Linked DNA regions of Macaca mulatta. The protein of the gene in region 3 purifies or fractionates together with the protein of the main gene of each other region. This does not show direct contact. Links are inferred from orthologs where the notes say so. Each region holds a gene or a part of one and is shown on either strand. Other genes may lie near its edges.

Region 1 (4,805 bases), on a different chromosome or scaffold from region 3:
AATTTTTCTTTATGTAGAATGGCATTAAATAGCAAAAATAAAAAAAATTTTTTTTGAGACAGAGTTTTACTCTTGTTGCCTAGGCTGGAGTGCAATGGCGCAATCTTGGCTCACTGCAACCTCCACCTCCTGGGTTCAAGTGTTCCTCCTGGCTCAGCCTCCCAAGTAGCTGGGATTACAGGTGCCCACCACCATGCCCATAAATAGCAATTTTTTAAAAAAATGACGTCAAGGGAAAAACTACAGAATAACAAAATTTTATATTTTAGTATCTTTAAAGATGATTTATTTTTTATTTTTTATTTTTTTGAGACAGAGTCTCATTCTGTCACCCAGGCTGGAGTGCAGTGGCATGAGCTCAGTTCACGGCAACCTCCGCTTCCCAGGCTCAAGTGATCCTCCCACCTCAGCCTCCCTAGTAGCTGGGACTATAGCCATGCGCCATCACACCGGCTAAGTTTTGTATTTTTTGTAAAGATGGGGTTTTACCATGTTGCCCAGGCTAGTCTCAAACTCCTGAGCTCAAGCAATCCTCCTACTTTGGCCAAAGTGCTGGGATTACCGGTGTGAACCACCACACCCGGCCTAAAGATATTCAGTTGGTGCAAAAGTAATTGCAGTTTTTACCATCAAAAGTAATGGCACTAACCACAATTACATTTGCACCAAGCTAATACTTTTTCCTTCTTTTTGAATAAGGAGCCTTGCATTTTCATTTTACACTTAGGCTCTGCAAATTATGTAGCCAGTCCTGTCGCTAGGACGTGCTTCAGGTCCTAGGGGAGGGGAAAGTTAGCCTTACTGCAAGCCTCAAAAGTGACTTTCCCAGAGTCTAGCTGTCCTCACTTAGGGACAGGTACCCACAAAGAGACAGTACCTACACAAGGTGGCTCCACACAACCCCAAAGCTAAAACTGAGAAACTTGAAGCTAGAAAGGGTCTTGTGCAGCAATTAGCTGGTTCCTGCCAGTACCCTTGTGCCAAGTCACAGAGGATGCCAAGGGCCCAGCAGCCAGAGAAGGAAGATAGCCTAGTCCAGTAGCCAATAGGTCCCAGTCCCAGATGCAGAGCAATAAGGATATGAGATGAAGACGCAAAGGAGGCCACTGAGCCTCCACTGGCCAGCTTTGAGCATTGTTCTCAACAGCAACTGACTGTATCCAAGAAGCCTGGGTCTAGGCACCAGCCTTGACAGGCCTGTTTGTGGCTGTTGAGCTTCTTTCACCTTACTCATTCTCCTCCACCCCAATCTCCTTCCCAGTAAGGAGTTTTCCAAGACCTGTAATACCTAGAAAACTCATTGGGTCTCTTTAAAACACTGCTTGCTCAAGATATATCAAGTGCCTACTCAGCTCCCAGCCCTGCGCTGGGTGCCTAAGTCTCAGAAGTGGGGAATAAGATGCCTGCCTTCAAGGAACAGCCTTGGCACAGGCAAGGTGGCTGAGCCCCTCTTCTCTGACATCTCCTCATTGCCTCACGACCTACTGAACATCTGCTGTAGGGGGAACACAGTTCACAAGGTTCCATGAAACCACTGAAGAGCAGCCCAGTGTAATACTCTAACTCCCATGTTCTCTTCTAGAAACTTCTCCCTCATAGGTCCCATGTTTTAAAAAGCTGTGTCTGCCAAATTGTATTTACTAATAATCAATGTCTTCAATTTCTTACTAATCAGAGACATGTACCACCACTAATCAGCATAGGAGAGCAAGGGATACTGCCCTTCCAAAGTACCTCAGTCCCCAGAAAAAGCAAAGATGGGGTCTGGCCCCATGAGCCTTGGGGAAGCCTAACTCAGAGCAATGGCATATGGGCATCCATCTCCTTCAAGATGCATGGCCTGGGGTGGGAGCCACCACTACTACTGTGGCTATCACACGAGGGACTGAAGACTTATATTCTAGTCTCAGCTCAAACACTTCAGCAAAATCACTGAACCTTCATGGACCTGAGTTTCATCATCTGAAGAATGGGGATGATTCCTCCCCTCCTGCCTCCAGGGGCTGTTACAAAGATCAAATAAGAAAAGACACAAGGAAAAAACCATCTGCTCTAGGAATGTCCAGGATTACTGCAAGATTCTATGTCTGTAAAACGGAACTAGTAATAGTTGCTACCTCATCAAACTATTGTGAGAATTAAATCAATGATAGTTACAGAACAGTTCCTACCATTTTTCAAAGACTCAAAAAGATTAGGCTGTTACATAATTATCACTACTATTATTGCTACTTCTGTTAATGACACTATTATCAAAATTACTATTATACCTTGCTACCCAGCTGAGGGATTCATAGTAGAGAAGTGCTGGAGTACAAAAAGTCATTTATTTACTTATTTATTTAGAGACAGGGTCTCACTCTGTCATCCAGGCTGGAGTACAGTATCACAATCATAGCTCATGGTAACCTCAGACTTCTGGGCTCAAGCAATCCTCACACTTAAGCCTCTCAAGTTGCTAGGATTACACGAGCATACCACCGTTAATTTTTTCATTTTTTGTACAGATGAGGTCTCTCTGTGTTGCCCAGGCTGATCCTAAACTCCTGGCCTCAAGTGATCCCCTTGCCTCTGCCTCCCAAAGTGCTGGAACTGCAGGCATGAGCCACTATACCCAGCCAAAAAAATCTTTTTAAAGGGGCTATCAACATCCTTTAGTCTAGAACTGGGAGAATCAGCAGTAGATTTCTTATATATTTTGTCCCTCATTAATGCAAAACTGAACAAAAAGTACAGAAATCAAAACTAAAATTCACCTGCCTAAGCTCAAGCTTTTCTGCTTCAAGAAAGGGATTCTGAGGCTAGGTGCAGTGACTCATGCCTATAATCCCAGCACTTTGGGAGGCTGAGGCAGGCGGATCACTTGAGGTCAGGAGTTTGAGACTAGCCTGGCCAACATGGTGAAACCCCGTCTCTACTAAAAATGCAAAAATTAGCCAGTCATGGTGGTGCACACCTGTAGTCCCAGCTACTTTGGGGGTGGCCGAGGCATGAGACTCACTTGAACCCAAGAGGCAGAGGTTGCAGTGAGCTGAGATCATGCCACTGCACTACAGCCTGGGTGACAGAGCAATGCTGTCTTTAAAAAAAAAAAAAAAAAAAAAAAAGACAGAAAGAAAGAAAAGAAATGGACTCTGGAGAGTATTAAAACATTTGCTGGCCAGTCATGGTGGCCTGCATCTGTAGTTCCAGCTACTTGGGAGGCTGAAGTGAGAGGATCACTTGGCCCCAGGAGTTCAAGGCTGCAGTGAGCTATGACTGCACCACTGTATTCCAGACTAGGAGACAGAGGAAGATTCTGTTTCTTACAATTTTTTCAAAAATTAAAATTTTTTAATCTGCTAAATATGAGGAACAACTGAATACATCCTGTAAAAACTCACACAACTTTCCTGTGCAAGGATCCATTAGGAAAAATAAAATCAGCTGTGTCAATGCTTTGTCCCTCTCACTCTATGAGCCAGTTACAGGAGGCTCCTGCCCTCAACACAAAAATCAAACATTCAGAAATGCTCACGGCAAAGCTAAGAAATCAGACAAACATTTGTCAGGAAAACATTTTTTTATGTGGGGGGCGGGGGATGAGGGAGAGAACAATTACTCCCAAAACCCTTAAGTCTCTCAAAAAATTGTTACAGAAGGAGGTCCAAAGTACAATCATCTGCCACAGGGCCCTGCCTTTGAGGGTAGGGAACACTGTCACACATTGCTTTCCCTAGGCCTGGAAGATCCAAGGCCCTGGGGGCATGGGAGCTCACTGTAGGAAAATCATTAGGGACCTCACAGACAAGTTACCATGGAAGAGTCAGCAAAGGTGTGGAAGGCTGTGCTCCAGCCTCCACAGTCCCACACATGGCCTCACACACCCAGTCCAAGGTTGTACCTGGTACTTTGGAACACTTGCAGCCCTTCCTCCTGTCAAATGAATGATGGGCCCTGCCCCTGGGTGAGGCCAGTGAGATGCGAGCCATGGATCCCATCCCTCTTACCTTCTTAAAAACACTGCTCCAGCAACTGCCCACTCTCTTTCCTGCAGCATCGACTTCTCCCTCTCCATGGGATCATTCCCATCAAAACAAAACATGCTGTACAATCTTCCACTAAAAAAAAGAAAGGAAAACCCTCCCTCAAACCCACATCCTCTCCAGTTACCAGCTAATGTCTCAACGCCACTTTGCAACAAAACTACCTGGAAGATTTGCCTAACTGACTCCCTGTCTTCACCCCGTATTTTATCTTCCACCTACTCCAGTCAGCTTTTGTCCTTTAAGACTTCTGTGACCCTGCATTCTCCTGGGGTTTCTCCCACCTTCTCAGTCCTTTTCAGTCTCCTTGCTGGCTTCACCTCTCTCCCCTCTAAACACTGCTTTGACCACCCAAAGGCTCAGAACATCGGTCTTCTGTCTGTACTCTCTTCCGAGGGGATTTCATCTAATCCCATGGTCTCGAATAACATATATTATGCCCAGTGGGTCTCTTCCATCCTCTCTCCCCACCAAGCTTCAGATCACACTCTCTGACATACTCATATCTCAAATGTAAGATGGCAAAACAAGATCTCATGATTCTCCTCCACCCCAAACCGGCTCTTCCCATCTCAACAATATGAATGCTATCCACTCAGGTGCTCGAGCCCTGAGGAGTCATCTTTGCCTCTTCTCTTTCTCTCACAGACTTTATTCAGTCCATCATGAAGGCATGAAGAGCCTACTTCCTAAACATAGCCTGAATGTGACCACTACTGTGCTACCACCCTCAGGCAAGCCACTGCTAACTCCTGCATGGACAAGGGCAACAGCCTCAGC
Region 2 (4,805 bases), on a different chromosome or scaffold from region 3:
TTAGCATTTTATTATGAAATAAGGCTGTCATAGATATCCAATAGGAATAGTCATAGTTCAGCTGTGCCTTATAATATCTTTAAGCTTAAAATATACACATATGTATATGTATGTGTATATATGTGTGTGTATGAACTAATGAGAAATAAGGGAAAAATATAACTTAGATTATAGATGGTGTTTCTAAAACAAAAGGGACGTTCAAAAAAGGTACTGAATACCACAATAAGAGGGTTTTAATACCCATAGTTGAATTCAATTTAAAAAAATAAAATGACAAGCACATGAAGGAACATTTTAAATGCTTAGGTGTACTAGAATTTTCTAATAGTGCTTGAAATAAGTGGACCACTGGCCAGAGTTATGAAATAATTTCATCATAAAAAAATTGTCAGTGTGTGATTTGACCTCTATCAATAAAAAGGTGGACTGTAGATAAGATATCCTTAAGAGAGTGGCACACTTTTGTATCTTCTTGACCAGACAGAAATCCATTTTGGCCTCCAAGGTATTAACACGAGATCAGCACTGCTCTGGTTGTCTTGAATCTCATGCTTGATGTTTCCTCTTGCAAGAAGGCAAACCATAGCTTAACCAGCATTCAATAACAATCTGGGAAAAGTTTTGGAACAATTCGTTTTCTTTACAAATCATATACATTTTTTAGGAAGATGAACATCTCACAGAAAAAATGAATTCGGGAGCTACCTAAACCCCAAGCCAAGCATAACCAGATATGGTATGATGGTAATGACTGTGGAGTTAGCCAGACTTTAGTTTCCTGCCTTTCCACTTATCTCTCAACCTACTATTCCTGACCCTGCAGTTTCTTCATCTCTGAAGCTGAGATGACACAAACACCATCACTTAAAATCATATAGAGGATTAAACTGCAAACACTGCACTGTCACATAGCAAGTGCTTAATAAATGTCAGTTATTATTTTTATGACAACTGAGATGAAAAGTTTAACAGACTCTAGGGGAGATGTAGATCAAAGAATACTAAGCCACAGATATGCAGGATGAACACAACCCAAGATATAGTGTACAACAGGAAGACTAGAGTTGATAATACTGTATTGTAGTCAGAATTTTTGCTATAAGAGTAAATTTTAGGTGCTTTTGCCACAAAAAAAAGGGGTAACTATGTGAGATAATGAATATGTTAATGTACTTGATTATAGTAGCCATTTCACATACATATAACAAAATATGCTGTATACCTTAAATATATACAATAAAATTTTTAAATGGGATTAACAGACTCTGCAAGAAGAGGACAAATGCATAGCTGGCAGAAAAAGAAAACCAAAGTGGGGTTCCTTGAGCACGGTGAGGGTACATGAAACTTGCCTGCCACTTGCACCAGCATTCCAGGTGTGCAAACCTCTCTGCGGCTCTTCTAAGCAAACAACCCACACCTGTAAATACCAGCACACCCTTGATGGCAAGAGCCTCCTGCTATCTCACACAGGGAGTTCTAAGTATGTGGAGGGAGAAGCCAGACGGATGGCCTTTAAACACAAAGCAAAGAATGACCAGGGGGTAGGATAGGGATGAGAAGGCATGACGATAGTAAAAAGTTCCAGTTCATAAACATAGCCTTTTTCTTGCTCCAGGCCTGTATTGCCTTTCCAGCTCACCAAGTCTTTCCACATGCAACTCACCTTCCACACTTCAAAAGTGTTGCCACAAAAAAAGGCACAACCCCACCAATGGCTACTCTGTGCGGAACATGTCTGTGAGTCAGGCATTACACCGGCATCTTCACATTTCATCCTCATAACCAATGGTTTCCTCCTCATAACCATTATCCCCATTTACATATGGGCAGACTGAAGCTCAGCATTGTCAAGTAACTCGCTCAGGTCATGCAGAGCGTAAGCAGCAGAGGCTGGGTGTGCACTCGGGTCTAACACCAAGTCTGCGTTCCCTCTCCCCATTGTGCTTACTGCTCAGCCCAACAGCGTGAGGAATCGCTGTCTGCATGCACCTCTGTAACTCCCTCTGCACTTAAAGCACACCGCCTGGCCTACAGTCAGCATCCAATAAACACATGCTGCACTGAATACAGGGCAAAGAGGTTTCCAGACATTGGTAAGTTTACCCCTTCCAGGAAATTCCTCTTCCACTGTGAAATGAGGACACTTATTAATAAAAATATGAAGATACCTAGTTTGCTTTGTGCTGCTCTATTTTTCTTGGGTTTTAGTTTCATGAGACCAAAACAAATAAATAACTTTCCTCTCCTCTTCCTCCCCTACGTATGCCAAAGGGGTGAAAAATACTTACGCTAGGCGATACCACCTCTTACAAACACCAGAGACCTTTAGTAGCTCAGGGAGGCACAGACAGGAAAAGATCCCCAAGAGCAGCTCATCCGGAAGGGAGTCCCATGAAACACCTTTGGAGGGAAAACAAGTGTTTGCCATCACCATTCTTTTACCCTACCAAGTCTACTGAGTCTTTCCAATCACATAAAAAATATACAACATTTAGCTTAAATGGGGAATTTAGCACAAATGAAATTACTCATCCTCACAATTATTTTTGTCTGAAAACTTTGTTGAACAGAAAAATAATCGTGGTGATGAGTAATTTCATTCGTGCTAAATTCCCCATTCCATCGTCTATGTACCCTGAAGTGACCACCACACTCTCTCAGCAAATGAAAAAGAGAAAACCAACAACACTTTTCCTATTCTTCTTCTCTTCAGCTCTAGCCAGCCAATCAGAGGCTGGGGCATGAACAGTGGTGCAGAGCAAGTCCCACCCTCTCAAATGTCATTCAATGATGTTGTCAATTCATTGACATCAATAAGATATTGTGGTGCTTCTGGGTGCAAAGGAAGGCCTTGTTTCTCTCTGATGTGGATTCAGTGGTGACCTTATTTAAAAGGCAAATAAATCTTCTTCCCTTTCTGATATGGTTTGGCTGTGTCCCCACCCAAATCTCATCTTGAATTGTAGTTCCCATAATCTCCATGTGTTGCGGGAGGGACCCAGTGGGAGGTAATCAAATTATGGGGACGATTACCCGGTGATAACCGCCCCTGTAATTTGATGCTGTTCTGGTGATAAGTGAGTTCTCACAAGATCTTATGGTTTTATAAGGGGCTTTCCCAACCCCTTCACTCTGCACTTCCTGATGCTGCCATGTGCAGAAGGACATGTTTGCTTCCCCTTCCGCCATGCTTGTAAGTTTCCTGAGGCCTCCTCAACCAGGCTGAACTGTGAGTCAATTAAACTTCTTTCTTTTATGAATTACCCAGTCTTGGGTATGTCTTTATTAGCAGCATGAGAACAGACTATACTTTCTTTCAGGTTTACAAAAAGCAGTTTACCTAAAAGAGCAATACAAAAGGGTGCTGTCATTTCTTAATTCAACAAATATTTACTGAGCTCCTACTATGGTGCCAGGTATCATTTTAGGTGTTGGGAAGGAGTAGTAAATCAGACCCAAAACACTATCTTCATGGGACTTCATTCCAGTAATGGGGAACAGACAATCACACATCAAAAAATAATTACATTATATGATATAGTAAAATTGATCTGTGCTGTGCAGAAAAATTAAACAGGGCAAGGAAGAGAACAGAGAGTTCAGGGCAGATGTTATTAAGTTTGAACACGGTGGTCAGAGAAGGCCGTACTGAGATGATGATCACTAAGCAAAGCCTTCAACAAAGTGAGGGAGTGAGCCCTGTGAGTATCTGGGATGTGTTCTGGATGCAAGGAACAGCATGTGTGTTTTGAGGCATAGCCAGGAGGCCAGTGTAGAGCAGTAGAGTGAGCAAGGTGGGTGGGTAGAAATCAGAGAGCAGCCAGGTCATGCAGGCTTCCTATGTCATGATAAAGGCCTTTGCCTTTGACACTGAATTCGATGAAGTGCCACTAGAAGATTCTGAGCACAGGAGTGACAGGCTCTCAGGTAAGTTCAAAAAGGATCACTCTGGCTGCTGTGTCTAGAACAGGAGAAAGGTGGATGCAGGAAAAGCAGTTTTCTTTCATAGAAGCAATCTCTAAATATTCAACAAGTATGAAACTCTTACATATGAATACACAGAACAATCCCACAAGGTCAGGATAATATAACAATTGCCAAGAAGGAAATAAATGCACGATGAAGAAATCCTAAAAAATGGTCAGATGAGTTCAATGACTGCCTTCCTCGGCTTTCCACCTCTGATGGATCTTCTACAACAACTGTGGTGATATTCTCTCCTCCCACTAGCATTTAAAGGTGCCAGTCTTTACTGAGCATGTCCTTTGTACCAGGCCCTGTGTAAGGGGTTTGAGGATATGAGGGAGAAAAGCACCGAGGAGTGTGACAAACACCTGCTGCCCCGGGCAGTCTTTTTAAACCATCATGTCTTTCTCTCAGTTGGAATTCTTCAGTGGTACACTCCAGGTATTTAGGCTAAAGTCCACAATGCTTAATACAAAGTTAAAGGCTTTTAGCCAGGTCCCAACTAGTTTTTCTAGGTTCGTTATCTAGAAATGTGTTCCAGCCATTTGGAGCTACCTGTAATTCTTACAATGAGTCATTCAGTGTCGTATCTCAATGCCTCTGCACATGCTTGCTTGCCTCCAACTACTATTCATTTAAAATCAAATGGAAGCCCCAGTTCCTACAGAAAGCCTCCCATGACATCAACAAGGACAGGCCACTTATGTACCATAATTTCATTATTTACTTACTCATCTCTCTGGACTCCCAGAAGCTCTTGAGAACCCCCCCCCTTTTTTTTTTTTTTAACAATTTTTGTATTTTCAGGAACTAGCATAAAGTTGATACATTCA
Region 3 (4,805 bases):
AAATCAATAGAATAAATACAAGGTTGAGATCATGGGGTCAGCCATGGCATGGGGCAGAGGAATGACCCTAGCAAACCACTCCAAAGTCCCCTGAGTTAAGACCCTACAGCTACCAGTGCACAAAAAGTGACAGGTTTCAAGTTTCAAAATTCCCATGGAGTAAATTCTTCACAAAGTCAATGTCTAAATCTGGTGCCTATGTTACATCCATCCCTTCACTTCCCTGCACTGTCCAAAGAGAGTCAGGCCACATCCCAAGTCTTATCTGGCTTTTAAAATCACAAGCCAGCTCCTGAGATCGAACGTGTGATTTTACCACAAGGGCACTTCCATCCTGGGGCGATTCCACATTGGACTGATACAAGGAGACCCACAGTCCAAAAAAGCCAAAACAAATATTAAATGTCAGGAAAACTGTTATGTGGGGGTGGAGGTCTGTGAACATAAAGGGAACTGAAACCAACCACACCAGAGGCCTGTGGATTCTGTGTGGAGGCTGCCTCTTCCCACTAAACCAGCAGCCCCAGGGTCCCCCCCACCTCCCCCGCGTCTGACCCGTCTCCATCATCATCACCCCCTCTCGGAGGTCCCACACTATCAACACCTCCATTCTCAGCTTACTTCACGCTGGACACTAATTCCCCAAACACCTTTTTTGTTTTTGTTTTTTCAGGTTATTGAGGTGAAAAACAAGGGGAAAAAGGAAGAGAAAAGACCAACTGTGGATCAGATTACAGAATTGCTTTATGCCTCAGTTTCCTTACTTACAAAGTAGGAAGAATAATACTGCCCACGCTCCTAATGTTCTAGTGAAGACTAAATGAGGTAAGATATGTGAAGCACTTGCCCCAGAGTCTGAGGCAAAAGTGAGTATGTGTCACTATTAATTATTATCATATTAGTGTTAATATGTAATAACATTATTGGTCAGACACAGGAGCTTAGAAGGGAGAAATAAAAACCAGACCAACCTACCCTTGGTGCTACCAAGTATCTTGGTGCAGGAAAACAAAATCACCAGCCTTAGCACTGGGCCACGCCAGACACACGCTCAGATACAAGCTCGTTTCTAGCCCCTGCCTTGCTCTCCAAGGCTAGATCAAGCTTGCCTCCCCCAAGAAAACGCTCCTCAATGCCTACTGACATCAAAATATTCAATCCCCAGCACTCTGGGAAGCCAAGGTGGGTGACTCACTTGAGCCCAGGAGTTTTAGATAACTTCTGATCCAATAGAAAGCTCTAGAGCACACAGAGCAAATATACTTCATCAGTCGAGCTGTAGTTTCTCTGTAAAAAACTTCGAATGACTTCCAAGTTCAAAAAAAAATTTAAAGACAACAGCATGATTGCTAAAGATTCATGTGGTCAAAGACCAGAAGAATAGACACAATGGAGGTGTTCCCTCAGGGGAATTGTGGGTGATTTCTCCTTAAAAAAAAATATGCCTTTTATTGTGATATCCAATCAACTAAAATCATGAGAGAGGAGAAAGTGGTTTGATATAAAGTAAGCACTCGGGATTCAGTGAATTCAGAAGAGAAACTAGCCCCTTCCCTTGCTCCCTGGACAACAGTGGAGTGGAACAAAGCAAACTCTAGATTATCACAAAGATAAGCCTAGAAGTACATTGGGTGTATGCATTTTCATCCTGAGTCAGAACTACCATGCTTTTTTTTAAAAAAAAGATAATTATTCCTGGCCAGGCATGGTGGCTTATGCCTGTAATCCCAGCACTTTGGGAAATTGAGTCAGGTGGTCTCCTGAGGTCAGGAGTTCAAGACCAGCCTGGCCAACATGGTGAAACTCCTTCTCTACTAAAAATACAAAAAATTAGCTGGGCATGGTGGTGGGCACCTGTAATCCCAGCTACTCAGGAGGCTGAGGCAGGAGAATCATTTGACCCTGCGAGCCAGAGGTGGCAGTGAGCTGAGATCACACCATTACAACACTCCAGCCTAGGCAACAAGATTAAAACTCTGTCTCAAAAAAAAAAAAATCATTATTTCTTGGGGGAAACAGTACCTGTAACAAGGTATTTTGGTTCAGGCACAGTGTCTCAGGCCTGCAATCCCAGCACTTTGGGAGGCTGAGACAGAAGGATCCTTTGAGCCCAAGAGTTCGACACCAGCCTGGGCAACATGGAGAGACTCCTGTTTCTAAAAAAAATTTATTTTAGTTTATTTTTTGGAACAGAGTCTTGCTCTGTCACCCAGGCTCGAGTGCGGTGGCACTATCTCAGCTCACTGCAACCTCCACCTCCTGGGTTCAAGCAATTCTCCTGCCTCCTCCTGAGTAGCTAGGATTACAGGTGCACGCCACCATGCCCAGCTAATTTTTGTATTTTTTTTAGTAGAGACAGGGTTTCATCATGTTGGCCAGGTTGGTCTCGAACTCCTAACCTTGTGATCCACCCGCCTCGGCCTCCCAAAGTGCTGGGATTACAGGTGTGAGCCACTGCGCCCAGCCTTAAAAAAATGTTAAAATTGGCCGGGCGCAGTGGCTCAAGCCTGTAATCCCAGCACTTTGGGAGGCCGAGACGTGCGGATCACGAGGTCAGGAGATCGAGACCATCCTGGCTAACACGGTGAAACCCCGTCTCTACTAAAAACTACAAAAAACTAGCCGGGCGAGGTGGCGGGCGCCTGTAGTTCCAACTACTCGGGAGGCTGAGGCAGGAAAATGGCGTAAACCCGGGAGGCGGAGTTTGCAGTGAGCTGAGATCCGGCCACTGCACTCCAGCCTGGGCGACAGAGCGAGACTCCGTTTCAAAAAAAAAAAAAGTTAAAATTATCCAGGTATGGTGGCACATGCCTGTGATAACCAGCTACTAGGGAGACTGAGGTGGGAAGGATCACTTGAGCCCAGAGGATGGAGGCTGCAGTAAGCTGTGATTGTGCCACTGCACTCCAGCTTGGGAAACAGAGCAAGACCCTTTTTTTTAAAAAAAAAAAAAAAAAAAAAAAGCTTTAATATCTATAAACAAAAGCCACAGCCCAGTAACCAAGAGAGAGCTGCTCTTCAGTCATCCCAGAGATGGTGCTTAATGGGGCTTGGGAGTCAGGTCCCAGTTCAGATACCTGCTCTGCTGACCCTGGGCAAGTAGACGTCACCCTCTCAGCCTCGGTTTGCTCATCTGTAAAACGGGAATATTCCTGCCGGAGCCTTCCCACCCACCAGGTTTTTGCAGTCTGAAATGGGACACTGTCTCTACAGTGCTGAGGGCAATAAGAGAAATACGAAGGCTTCTAGTAAGTGCCCTCAACCTCTGCTTTTTTATAACATGGTTAACAACCAGGCAGGGCTACCCCCTCCACCAGTGCTCAGTCGTAAACGTTTGGATCCCCAAATCTGTGTAAATTCCAAGGGGTGTCGTTTGAGCCAAGGAGAGAGCTTGCCCATTCCAACCCAGGGGTGTGGGAGTGCAATTTCTCGGCCCCTTTCCAACCCCACCCTACTCCGCCCAGGGACACCGGCGGCGCGCCCTCACCTCTGCCCAGGACGCGTCCTCTCTCCAGGTGCCGCCGGGGCACCGTGAACGTGTAGCTCTCGGCGTCAAAGCCGGGGTGGCAGGGCTCCGGCTCCTGGCAGAGCCAAGACGAGACCTGGGGTGGGGAAAAGGTAGATGGAACCGGGTGACTCGGAGGGTTCCCTCCAGCTCACCGAAACCAACAACGCCGCCCCTCCCTCGCTCCCGGCGTCGGGATTGGGGGAGGACCCCCGCCCCCAACCTCGGGCAGGGCGGGCAGCGACGTCACCCTCCCCCACCCCGAAACCTACGGCCGCCAAGCCCCCAGGAACTCCCGGAAGGGGGCCGCCGAGTCACCCCCTCGAGACCTAGCCCATCGTTCTTTTCGGTCTCCTTTCTCATTTTATTGGAGATGTCTTTATTCTCCCCAACCCCACTTTCCTTAGACCGGGAATGCACCACTCCTTAGAGCGAGGGGCGCTCCCACCTCCCTCGACCCCACTTTCTTATCCCCGGGACTCCCACTTCTATTTACGACCTTTCTTGGCATGGCAGGTGCCTTTATTTCTACGGATGCCCCTCTCCTTCCCTCGAGGATCGTGCCCACGACTCCTGGCTCCCCCTCGACTTGCACCGGGGCTCCCCTTCTCCACACCCCACCCCCCACACCCCGCTCCACGACCCCCGCGCCAGCCCAAGCCCACCCCGCGGACTCGGAAGCCAGACGCCCCCGCCTCGGTCTGCGCTGGAGGGGCAGCAAAGCCGCGCTCGCCCCTCACCACCCACGCCCCACTCCCATCACTGCGGGGTCCGGAGCGCGCGAGGCTTCCAGGCCGCTCGGCTCCTCGGGACCCGAACTTTCTTGGAAGAAGGGAAGCGGTGACTACGGGAGAGGAAGGGGCGCAGGGCTGGGGCGGGGGGCTGGGGCGCAGAGTGTGCGGCCCGGACGCGTCCCTCGCAAGGCAGGGGACCCGAAGTACCTGCAGCAGCAGCAGCAGCGCCGACAGGCTGCGGCTCCAAGGGCCCATGGCTGGCCGGGGACGCCGAGCGAGGGCAGGGGCCGGGTGCGGTCGGATCGGGCCGGGCTGGATCGGGCTGGAGTCCGAACTGACTTCCGCGAGCTCACAGGTGCTTTGCAGTTCCGACGCCACTGAGACTGGGGTGCGCTGCTGCCGCCAGGTGTGCCTCGGAGGGACCGCCCCCCGTACCGCTGATTGGCTGAGGGTTCACCTGCCGGCCACAGCCAATCAGCAGCGCGGACCCCTCCCCCGGACGGAGCTAACGGCCCGCCCCCCCGGCCTCGCGCAGACCCGGTGACCCTCTAGCCTGGAGTTGCTAG
Region 4 (4,805 bases), on a different chromosome or scaffold from region 3:
GGAATGAGCAGGAGTTTGGTTTGTGGAGTAGGGAGGGAAGAGCCTTCCAGGTGGAGGTAACGGCAGGATCAAAGTCAGGGAGGTGCATTTGAGGAACGCTGAGTAACCTGCGGTGGCCAGATGTCCAGAGAAAGATGAGGCTTAGCCTCTCTGGCCTCAGTTTTCTCAAATGAAAGATGGGCATAGGTTGTCTGGAGGTTTTTCTGAGTGTCACACAGTAACAGGCTTGTTCCCAGGGTAGGTGCTGCTACAAAGAGCCCTGCTTCTTCCCCTTCCCCAGGGGTCCCTGGGCTGCACTGGATTCTGGAGGCTGGCTTTGCCCTCCCCCAACCGCAGTCCTGATCCCTGCCCCTCTCATGTCCCTCCCCTGAGCCAGAGAATGAAGACCATCCCCTTTCTCTCCAGCCCCTCTGAGAGTGGGTTGCAGGCGCCCATCACCATGGCAACCAAGCTGGGCTGCTTCCTGTGGGCCTGGGGCTCAGCGGGAGATGGGGAGCAGAGCATCCATGTCGAGCCGTGCATTTACGTACAGTTGTGCGGCCGTGTGCGGGTGTGCATGCTGTGTGTACGTCTGGGCGTGTGTGTGTGTGTGCATGTGGGGTGGAATTGTCTGTGTGTCGCTGTGTGGGAATGGACTGTTGTGGTTTGTCTGGTGCCCGAGGGCCTGGGGAGCGTGTACCTGTATGAGCATGTGGCCACTGGGCACGGGCATGCCTGTATGTGTATGCACATATGGCCAGGGTTGGCTTCAGTCTCAGGCCTGTGGCTTCCACATGCACCAGCCAGGCCGTCCGTAGAAAATCACGGTCGCCCAAGGCAGGTTTTGAGTCCTCGGGTGTGGGTTTGAGCCCCAGCCCTGTCTCTGGCTTGCCGGGTGACCCCAGGCTGGCCACTCACCTCTCTGGACCTCATTTCTTCTGTACGCTGGGATCATAACCTCCTCCTGAAGATTGCAAAGGGGAGGTCTGTGGGCTAGGAGGGCTGGGCTTCCCCCATGCCTATGCACTGCCTGGCCAGGCTCCTGGGAAGGTGGTTCCTGGCCGCTGGAGCCTCTGCCCTTGCCTCCAGGGCTCAGCCTTGTTCCCTGATGCCATTTGGGCGTCTCTTGGCCTCTGGTGCTACCTGGGCCTGCTGGATGGGAGGAAACTTTTCTGGCCAAAAGCTTTTCTAGGCTCAAGAGAAAGAGGGGAGGCACCAGGGCTGGCCCTGCTTGACCCAGGCAGCCTTCAGGCCACACCCAGCCAGTGGTCTCCTGCCCACGACAGCCAGCCTCTGCCAACCACCCCCTCCCGCCTGACCCTGGGCCTGTCTTCAGAAAGGAGGTGGGGGGGGGACACGGACAGTGCCCCCGTGAGCCGATCCAGAGAGGGAAAGCAGTTAGGCCAGGGCCACACAGCAACAGGGAGCCACTCACAGGCTCCCAGCAAACAGTTATTGAGTGCCTACTGTGTGCCTGGCCCTTTTATATGTGGTGGCATGGAATCTCCCCAGCAGCCCTGGGAGCACCCGCATTGTGCAGAGGAGGAAACTGAGGCCCAGAGAGAGCCAGCAACCCCTCCAAGTTCCATAGCTAGGATGCCCACCTGAGATATGGGGGTCTTGCTGGGGCCAAGGGTGCGTGGCAGGACGTTCCAATCAAGTGTCTCTTGGGTCCCTTGGCCCTACCTCTGTGGCTGCCCCGGGGCTGGCTGTTGAGAGACAGGGTGGGCCGGGGGCCCCGCCTGGGCCTCCCTTCCCTCCAATGTCAGGCAGGCACAGAACGGTGTCCAGAGCAGCGCTGAGTGCTGCGGCCTGCGGGAGAGAGGGCGTGGCGGTCACGGCTCCCCTCTGTGCCCCGCAGGTGCCTACTGCCTCTCAGTGTCCGACTTCGACAACGCCAAGGGCCTCAACGTGAAGCACTACAAGATCCGCAAGCTGGACAGCGGCGGCTTCTACATCACCTCCCGCACCCAGTTCAACAGCCTGCAGCAGCTGGTGGCCTACTACTCCAGTGAGCCAGCCTCGGAGGGCGGGGGGGGCAGAGCCTCAGCTGCAGACCCTGGGGAGGGGCTTTGGAGCCTAGAAGGGTGGGGTCTTCTGTTATCCTGTGATGCCAGGTTTCCTGCTCCCCTCCCCACTTTCTCCCTCCCCCTTCCCTTCCTCTCTCCTCCGTTTTCCCTACTTTCCTCCGTCTCCTTCTTCTTCCTCTTCTTTCCCCCGACCCGCTCCTCCCAGTCCCCGTCTCTCCCTGCTCCTGCTCTGCAGCTGGCTGGTATGGAGGGGGCTGCCCTGAGGAGCCCAAGAGTGAGCTGGAAGGGAGGGGACGGAGGCTGGTGTCGTTTGTCTATGTAGCCCTAGGACCGGTCTGAACCGGTTGCTGGGAGAGGAGGAGGGGGCGGCCAGATCGATTGCAGCAGAGACGGAGAGAGCGGCAGAGGGAGCTCGCGGGGCTTGCGTGCTGGGTGAGGGCTCGGGCGTGGGCGCAGTGCTGTAGCCCACCCACCTGGGCGTCTGGAGCTGACTGCAGTGTCGGGGCCTGTGGGTGCCTATGGGTGCCTGTGTGCCCATGTGTCTGTGGCACGCGTGGCCTCTGTGTGCAGGTGTTCGTCCACTTCCCACCCCAAGTCTCCTCCTCCTCTCAGCTCGGCCTCCTGACTTCCTCTGGGATCACCCACCATGCTCTTGTCTCTTTGGCCACCGCTGTGTGGCTCATGCTGAACCCCGTTCCCTCAGATCAGAACTCTCCAGGGGCTGTCTTGGAATCTTGGGATAAAGACCCCCACCAGCCCCCGAGTGGTCTAATCCCAGCTGCCTCCCCACCTCCGCCTGGTGCCGCCCTTCCCCACCTGCTCCCTGCAGCTCCTTTTGCCTCTGCTTCTTCAGCCCTGCAGCTATTCTTTCCTCAGAGCCTTTGCTCTGGCTGTGCCCCTGCCTGGAGGGCTCTTCCCTGCTTAACCCCTCACCCTCCTGCACATCCAAGCTCAGTTGCTGCTTCCTCCAGGAAGCCTCCCAGGACCCTCCTGCTGTTGCGCGAACAGCTCTCCTCCAGTCACATTCATGTCTGTGGTCCTGGGAGGTGATTAGGGAATTGAGGCTCCTCCCTGGACTCCGAGTTCCTGAGGGTAGATTCCCTGGACTTGTTCCCCGCAGGGTCCCTGGCACCCCCTACTGTCTGCTGAATGACTGACTCAGCAGATGCATAAAGCATTGTGGGCCTGTGTGGGGGTGGGACTGTGTGCACATAGATGTAGATGCCTGGCTTTGAGGGTGCCCTGGGTGTCTCCTGAAATCTGCGTGCATCTGGCATGTAGGGTGACACACACTGAGGGGCAGGGAGGCCCCAGGGCAGAAGCCCCCCCTAACTGCTCCTCTTGCCTCCTCCTCAGAACACGCCGATGGCCTGTGCCACCGCCTCACCACTGTGTGCCCCACATCCAAGCCTCAGACTCAGGGCCTCGCCAAGGATGCCTGGGAGATCCCTCGGGAGTCGCTGCGGCTGGAGGTCAAGCTGGGCCAGGGCTGCTTTGGCGAGGTGTGGATGGGTAAGGCCTGGCCCCTGCCCTCGGGAGAGGCATCCATCCCCCACCCCGTGTGGCAGCTCTGGGCTCTGTTGGTCCCTTTGCCTTTAGCTGCCTCTGCTGGACGACGGGGCCCTGTTGTAAATCTGGAGCCCCCCAGCGGTGGCTGGCACCGAGTTGGGATGTGGCCCCCCAAGTGCTGTGCCCCAGACCGTGTAAACCATAGCACCTGATTCCAAGATCCGCACAGGGCTGGGCATTGCACAGACCTGCTGTGTAGGCTGGGCCCGGTGGCCTCACTCGGAGTCTCAGTCTTCCTGACTATGAATGGGGCTGGTGACAGTGGGACCTATGGGAGGCTGTGGAGGCCCTGGCCCAGTGCATTGTCCACACACCAGCTGTTAGCCATGGAGAGAGAAGCCTGGCTCGTGGGAGGAGGTGCTGGGAAGCTTAGTTCTGGCATGGTCTGAGCCTGTTAGTGATTTCCTGTCTAACCCTGGAGAAACAGCAAAGCATAAGAACCGTGCAGCCCTGACAAAACCCAGGCCCCTTGTCCACCGGTTGCTTTCTGCTCACACAGAGGGACCAGAGGCCAGGGTGGAGGTGGGACAGCACTTGTAAGCCCGTAAGCCCATGGTGCTAGCGGGGATCACGGTGTGCTGTTTTCAAGGTGGTTTCATCTGAGCCGCATCTCCGCTCAGTCCCACTGCCTCCACTCTCCACCCTCCAGAGTCCTGATGGAGGACAGCAGAGAGGCCTCCTGGGTGGAAGGCACTGCAGGGACAGAGGCCTGGAGGCTGGAGGTCAGGCCGTCTGGAAGGGGGAGGCGTGGGCTTTGAGCTGGTGAGAGGGGAGAGGGGTGAGAAGCCAGGGTGTGAGCACAGCCACAAAGTGAGGACTTGAGCGAAACCTGGGTGAATGCACAGCGTCAGCCATTCTGGTGGCTGCAAAACTCATTTCTGGCTTCGGTGAGTGGTGATGACCCTGGGAAGGGCCTCACTTCCTCCCTGGGTGCTCCAGGTCGACTCATGAAGTGCCACATGCAGATGGCTTGAGCCAGGAGGACCACAGAGGTGGGCCTGAGCCCTAACCCTCGGAGAGAGGCCCAGTGACTGGGAGGAATGGGCCCAAGGTCACACAGCAAAGGAACCTTGAGTCCTGCTGGCACAAGAACCTGGATTAAACATGCTGGTCTAGAATACAGCTTCCCCCAGAGCCCCCAGTTAGAAAAGCAGATAGTAGTGAAACGATAACCGCATTACTTACTGAGCCCTCACGGTGGGGCTGGCCCAGTGGTTAAAATCTCAT
Region 5 (4,805 bases), on a different chromosome or scaffold from region 3:
AAACTGAGATGCCCAGGGGCTGGAAGGATAATTCTTGAATGAAGACAGGAATAGTGTCAGAGAGCAGGACGGTAAGCCGGGAGCTCAACCACAGATGCCGCAGAGGCCCGTTTCTCCTCTGCCCTTGCTACAGGCCCTCCAGGCATTCTGGCTATGGGGAAAGGGGTTCAGCACTTGGCCATGAGCCTAGGAGCATCACCTGGGGCCACTTCTCCCCGCAACACCCTGGGGTTCCATCATCCTGTCTGCCTGCAGCCTCTCCGAAGAGAGGGGCACTCCATGTGAACAGTAACTTGAATCTGCATTACGAAAAGACTTCCTTCTCTGATACTAGCTTGAGAACCATTATTTTCTATAATTTCCTGCCTAACTCAAACTGAAGCCTCATGTTGTAGAGACTGTTTATCCTAAATTAAATCGTCAACTCAGGCTAGCTCCTCTTCTTGGCCCAAGTTTGGGCTCTAACTTGCAACTAACAGTCATTTTAGACAACATAATTAAATATATCTCATTCTAACAGATTTTAGATTCATGGTTTTAATATACTGCTACCGCATCTGCCGAGTTCTAGAATGACGCATTGCTCAAGTTTAGCAAATGATAAGAAAGAAGCTGTTAAGTCTGAAATGCAGTTACTCACCCTTATCATCAGCACTGCTTTCCTGATGTCCCGGATACCATCATATACCAGGCGGGAGGCATCGATAAACTCATTCTCATCCATTGGCTGGGCAGGGTCCGAGCTGAGGGCTTCCACGGCCGCCTCTACTTGCTCAGTAAAACGTGGCATGACTGTGGAGAAAGGGGCACAGCAGATGTCCTGGTATGCAGGCAGCATCATTCCCCTGACCCTCCCTGAATCACTCAGCTAGACAGAAAGAGGTGAGGCTTATGATGAAGAGCCTCTGCTTCTATCTATGTGAGGAGTATTTATGGTTGAAATAAATGCAGTATTTTACAACAACTCAACAACTCAAATCATCTTTTTCTCTGCAACAGAGGGATTGGATGGTTGAGGGATTGGATGGTTGAGAACTTGGAAGTGAGACTAACTTGAAGCCTTGCTTAAGAATAGGACCTCAGGTTAATAGTTTAACCTGAGGTTAAACTCAGAAATTCATCTTAAATAGTGTGTTTAGAATTAGTCCCATGATTACTCATGAGATACACATGAAGAAAATATGCTTGTGAGGCCTGAATTTGGCTATGACCAACTTCTCAGGAGCCCAATGTGCCATGAGACCAAATCTGAGTTCCCGACTCCTCCTTCCTCACCACAGGGCTGGGCTAATCGGGTGGCCTGCCCTACTCAGGTTGCAGTGTGTGCGAGCACTGAAAAGCTAGAGTTCCCGTACCTGTGTTGGAGAGAAGCTTAGTGGCTTCCAGAACCTTCTCTGTGTAGACTCCAGGCTCATAGTTGTCCATCTCTGAGGTGACTACGTGAATGACCCGGGCTGCCCGGCCTCGAATTGCACCAGCTGTGCGGTCCAGGCCATCCACATCCTTCTCCTGGAGAGCAATGACACATTTGTTCACATCTTCCAAAATGTGATTCTCTGGAGAACAAGCAAAAAGCTGAATGAGGAAGGAGGCCTTCTATGAGAAGGTGGCAACTGTAAGCTGGCATCTATCATTTATTGTTTGCTTGGTGCCAGCCACAGTGCTGAAAGCTTTACATATATTTCATTGGAGAGACCAGTGACTAGTGACAGAGACAGAAACTAAACCTGTTATCACCCTCAAGAATAACAATCTTCATTCCAGGCTTTAAAAATAAAACAAAATAAAACAAAAAACAGGAGACATGCCCATCTTTGAGACACAGTTGTTCTGTAAGCCTGGCAGAAAATCACAGAAGCATCAATAACTTCTCTTCCTCTAGCTTCACTGACCCTGTGTCCCAAATAAAGGAAAGGCTAAATTAGAACAAAAGTCCACTGTCCGCTCTCCCTCTCCCTCCAGGAGATGCTGATGATATTCAGACAATCTACCAAGAAGCCAGTACAGCCCAGGGATAGGAGAAGGTGCTGGAAAGCAGGTTGAAGCCTTCTCTAGAGGAGCCTGAGGCATGAGATGAACTATTTAATAACCCTCTTCATGGTACACAGATGGGCTTATTGTGATATTTGAAGGGTCCCTAGAGGTGAAAACCCCTGACTCCTATGAAGCTGATGGGTGGCTCCTAACAGTCACACAGCTGAATTTGGGCAAAACACCACAACTATTTTTCCTCAAAGGAAAAAGCCTGACACTATACATTTTTAGGAACCCCACCACAAAGAGTTTGCTCAAACTCATCTATAATAACAACGTGGAAGCAAACCAAGAGAAGAGTGGATAAGTGAATTATGGGAACTATGCAGCCATTAAAGTGCATATCTGGAGGCTGAGGCAGGAGGATGGCTTGAACCCAGGAGGCAGAGGTTGCAGTAAGCCGAGATTACGCCGCTGCACTCCAGCCTGGGCAACAGAGTGAGACTCCGTCTCAAAAACAAAAACCAAAACAAACAAAAAATACCTTTCCAGAGAAGGCCAGGAAATAGTAAGAATTCTTATTAGAGAAGGGAAAACTAGATTACTGCAATATAGTTAAGACCATATTTTGATCTCTATTAATTACAGATTATGAGACTTGCCAGGGTTTATACCAATGAACTAATGAAAGAGTAAACATATTAAACTTCTAACATAAACACATTTTAAGAGGGACATTTAAACCAATTACAAGAATAAACGGATTTGGAGCCCATCACAAGCATTTCTGAAGTATATAAACTCTAATAATTCAAACTAAAAAATGTACTGAGCAGGCCAACCATACAAGGTCTTGGGTTAAAAATTGTTGCTTTTACTGGATCTAACACGATACCATTAAGATGAAACTTGCATTGCTAAGGAAAAGAAAGGAATAAAATGGAAAGTGTGTTGATAACAAAACTAAGAACCAATATTTTCTCATATCATTGATTTTAAGACTCATCCCTGTTTCAGAATCAATGAAGTATGGCATTCCTTCCCGTTCATTAAACAAAGTGACCCAAACTTCTACCAAGGATTTTTTAACCTTTGTCTAGATACATCTATTTTTTTTTTTTTTTTAAATCCATCTAGACTTTCTTGAATTCATCCTGGCCTTCTTCTAGATGAACCTAAACCAGGAAAGGGTACGCCATTTTTTAGAGTAACATTCCCCACTTCAGGAAGCTGAACAAAGTAATATTCTCTACCCTCATGAAACACTTGTCTCTAGGAAAGCCCCAGCCTCGCTGAGGCTGCCGCCCAGGACAGAGCACCCAGCCTCCTCTCCACAACTGAACCTGATGCGGGGAGGTGCGAGTCCACTGTTTAACGGAGGGGGACAGGCTGTGCCCACACTAACTGAAACCATAAATCATTTTAGCTAAGGAAACAGCATAGGTCCACTATGAGTAGATACACAAATCTGTACCCATGAACAGCTGTCCAACACATGATTTATAGGTGTGCTTCTAATAGAAAAAAATCATACACACACACACACCAGTCCATATAAAATATGGACAACTATATGTAAATGAATATAAAAGGAATTATATTATGGACACTATTGTATCTTTTTCACTTGAAAACCTTTCTAGGTATGGCCCTACAGATCTACCTCATCCATTTTAATGGCTGCATAGTACCCTACTGAAGAGATGGAGGGGCTATAATTCACTTATTCAATCTTCCCTTAGACATTCTGGTTGAAGAAAACATCCCTCTACAGGTATTTTGGCAAACATTTGCGACACTCCCCTAGAGAAAATGTCTAGCAATGAGATCGCTGAGTTAAAAGGTATATATGTTTAAAGTAGAAGTATGGTACCTAATTGCCCTCCAGGAACGATGCCGATTGGCATTCTCCATAAGAGATGTCAGAACTTCAGTCTACAATGTGTAGCGATAGAGCCTCTTCTTTGTACCCTCTGCCCTGGGTATCTTTATAGCAAGCAGCGTATGCAGGGCTGCTGCACACAAAGAAAATGAAAACGATGTTTCATACTTTATGTAGAGGATTTACCCTGTGACATGAACTATTCTGAGGGCTTGCCATGTAAACTCTATGTAGTAGGCTTAAAAAGGAAAAAAAAAAATCACCGGCCAGGTGATTTCTGATTACATGGTGGCTCATGCCTGTAATCCCAGCACTTTGGGAGGCTGAGACGGACAGATCACAAGGTCAGGAGATCGGGACCATTCTGGCCAACATGGTAAAACCCCATCTCTACTGAAAATACAGAAATTAGGTGGGTGTGGTGGCAGGTGCCTGTAATCCCAGCTACTCAGGAGGCTGAGGCAGGAGAATCGCTTGAACCCGGGAGGTGGAGACTGCAGTGAGCCAAGATCACGCCACTGCAGTCCAGCCTGGCAACAGAGTGAGACTCCGTCTCAAAAAAAAAAAAATCACCACTAATCTAACTTCACCACTTCCTCCAAAGACAGAAACTCTGTCTATAGTTTAGCATTTCTGCTATTAAACACAAAACCAACATTTAGGTACAGTAATCTTTCTATTTAATGACCTCCCAATCAGACCAAATATTTTGGACACACTGACACTTAATGAAGGAGAGTGCAAATTACCACTCCAAGTGTTGCTCCAAAGCATTTAATGCATTATATTGTTTCTAAGAGCATTTAGTAAAAAATTTAATAAACCCAATTACAGCTTCTCTAAACAATCACTTGCATCTTCAAAAAAAGGGAGCCAAAACTGCAACATGTAAGCAGAGTGAGAGAATGGAAATCAATAACATTTCCATGGAAAATGTTTATCAAATACA

The links. Proteins that work in one complex are often made in the same cells at the same time.
Region 1: the proteins of CDH1 (region 3) and PLEKHA7 purify together in Homo sapiens (co-immunoprecipitation; 3 studies listed by BioGRID and IntAct, with this or other methods). This does not show direct contact. The link is inferred for Macaca mulatta from reciprocal best matches to the Homo sapiens genes CDH1 and PLEKHA7.
Region 2: the proteins of CDH1 (region 3) and SKP2 purify together in Homo sapiens (affinity purification with western blotting; 3 studies listed by BioGRID and IntAct, with this or other methods). This does not show direct contact. The link is inferred for Macaca mulatta from reciprocal best matches to the Homo sapiens genes CDH1 and SKP2.
Region 4: the proteins of CDH1 (region 3) and SRC purify together in Homo sapiens (affinity purification with western blotting; 5 studies listed by BioGRID and IntAct, with this or other methods). This does not show direct contact. The link is inferred for Macaca mulatta from reciprocal best matches to the Homo sapiens genes CDH1 and SRC.
Region 5: the proteins of CDH1 (region 3) and CTNNA1 purify together in Homo sapiens (affinity purification with western blotting; 10 studies listed by BioGRID and IntAct, with this or other methods). This does not show direct contact. The link is inferred for Macaca mulatta from reciprocal best matches to the Homo sapiens genes CDH1 and CTNNA1.

What each region holds. Positions count from the first base shown.
Region 1 is NC_133419.1:48,436,573-48,441,377, reverse strand, and holds part of PLEKHA7 (pleckstrin homology domain-containing family A member 7), read right to left. Parts: intron 4,101-4,805; coding exon 3,990-4,100; intron 1-3,989. UniProt on the Homo sapiens protein: Required for zonula adherens biogenesis and maintenance. Acts via its interaction with CAMSAP3, which anchors microtubules at their minus-ends to zonula adherens, leading to the recruitment of KIFC3 kinesin to the junctional site.
Region 2 is NC_133411.1:37,237,060-37,241,864, reverse strand, and holds part of SKP2 (S-phase kinase-associated protein 2), read right to left. Parts: intron 2,407-4,805; coding exon 2,295-2,406; intron 1-2,294. UniProt on the Homo sapiens protein: Substrate recognition component of a SCF (SKP1-CUL1-F-box protein) E3 ubiquitin-protein ligase complex which mediates the ubiquitination and subsequent proteasomal degradation of target proteins involved in cell cycle progression, signal transduction and transcription.
Region 3 is NC_133425.1:64,333,552-64,338,356, reverse strand, and holds part of CDH1 (cadherin-1), read right to left. Parts: intron 4,697-4,805; 5' UTR 4,495-4,696; coding exon 4,447-4,494; intron 3,603-4,446; coding exon 3,488-3,602; intron 1-3,487.
Region 4 is NC_133415.1:90,252,165-90,256,969, forward strand, and holds part of SRC (proto-oncogene tyrosine-protein kinase Src), read left to right. Parts: intron 1-1,840; coding exon 1,841-1,990; intron 1,991-3,365; coding exon 3,366-3,521; intron 3,522-4,805. UniProt on the Homo sapiens protein: Non-receptor protein tyrosine kinase which is activated following engagement of many different classes of cellular receptors including immune response receptors, integrins and other adhesion receptors, receptor protein tyrosine kinases, G protein-coupled receptors as well as cytokine receptors.
Region 5 is NC_133411.1:147,787,801-147,792,605, reverse strand, and holds part of CTNNA1 (catenin alpha-1), read right to left. Parts: intron 1,557-4,805; coding exon 1,356-1,556; intron 793-1,355; coding exon 641-792; intron 1-640. UniProt on the Homo sapiens protein: Associates with the cytoplasmic domain of a variety of cadherins. The association of catenins to cadherins produces a complex which is linked to the actin filament network, and which seems to be of primary importance for cadherins cell-adhesion properties.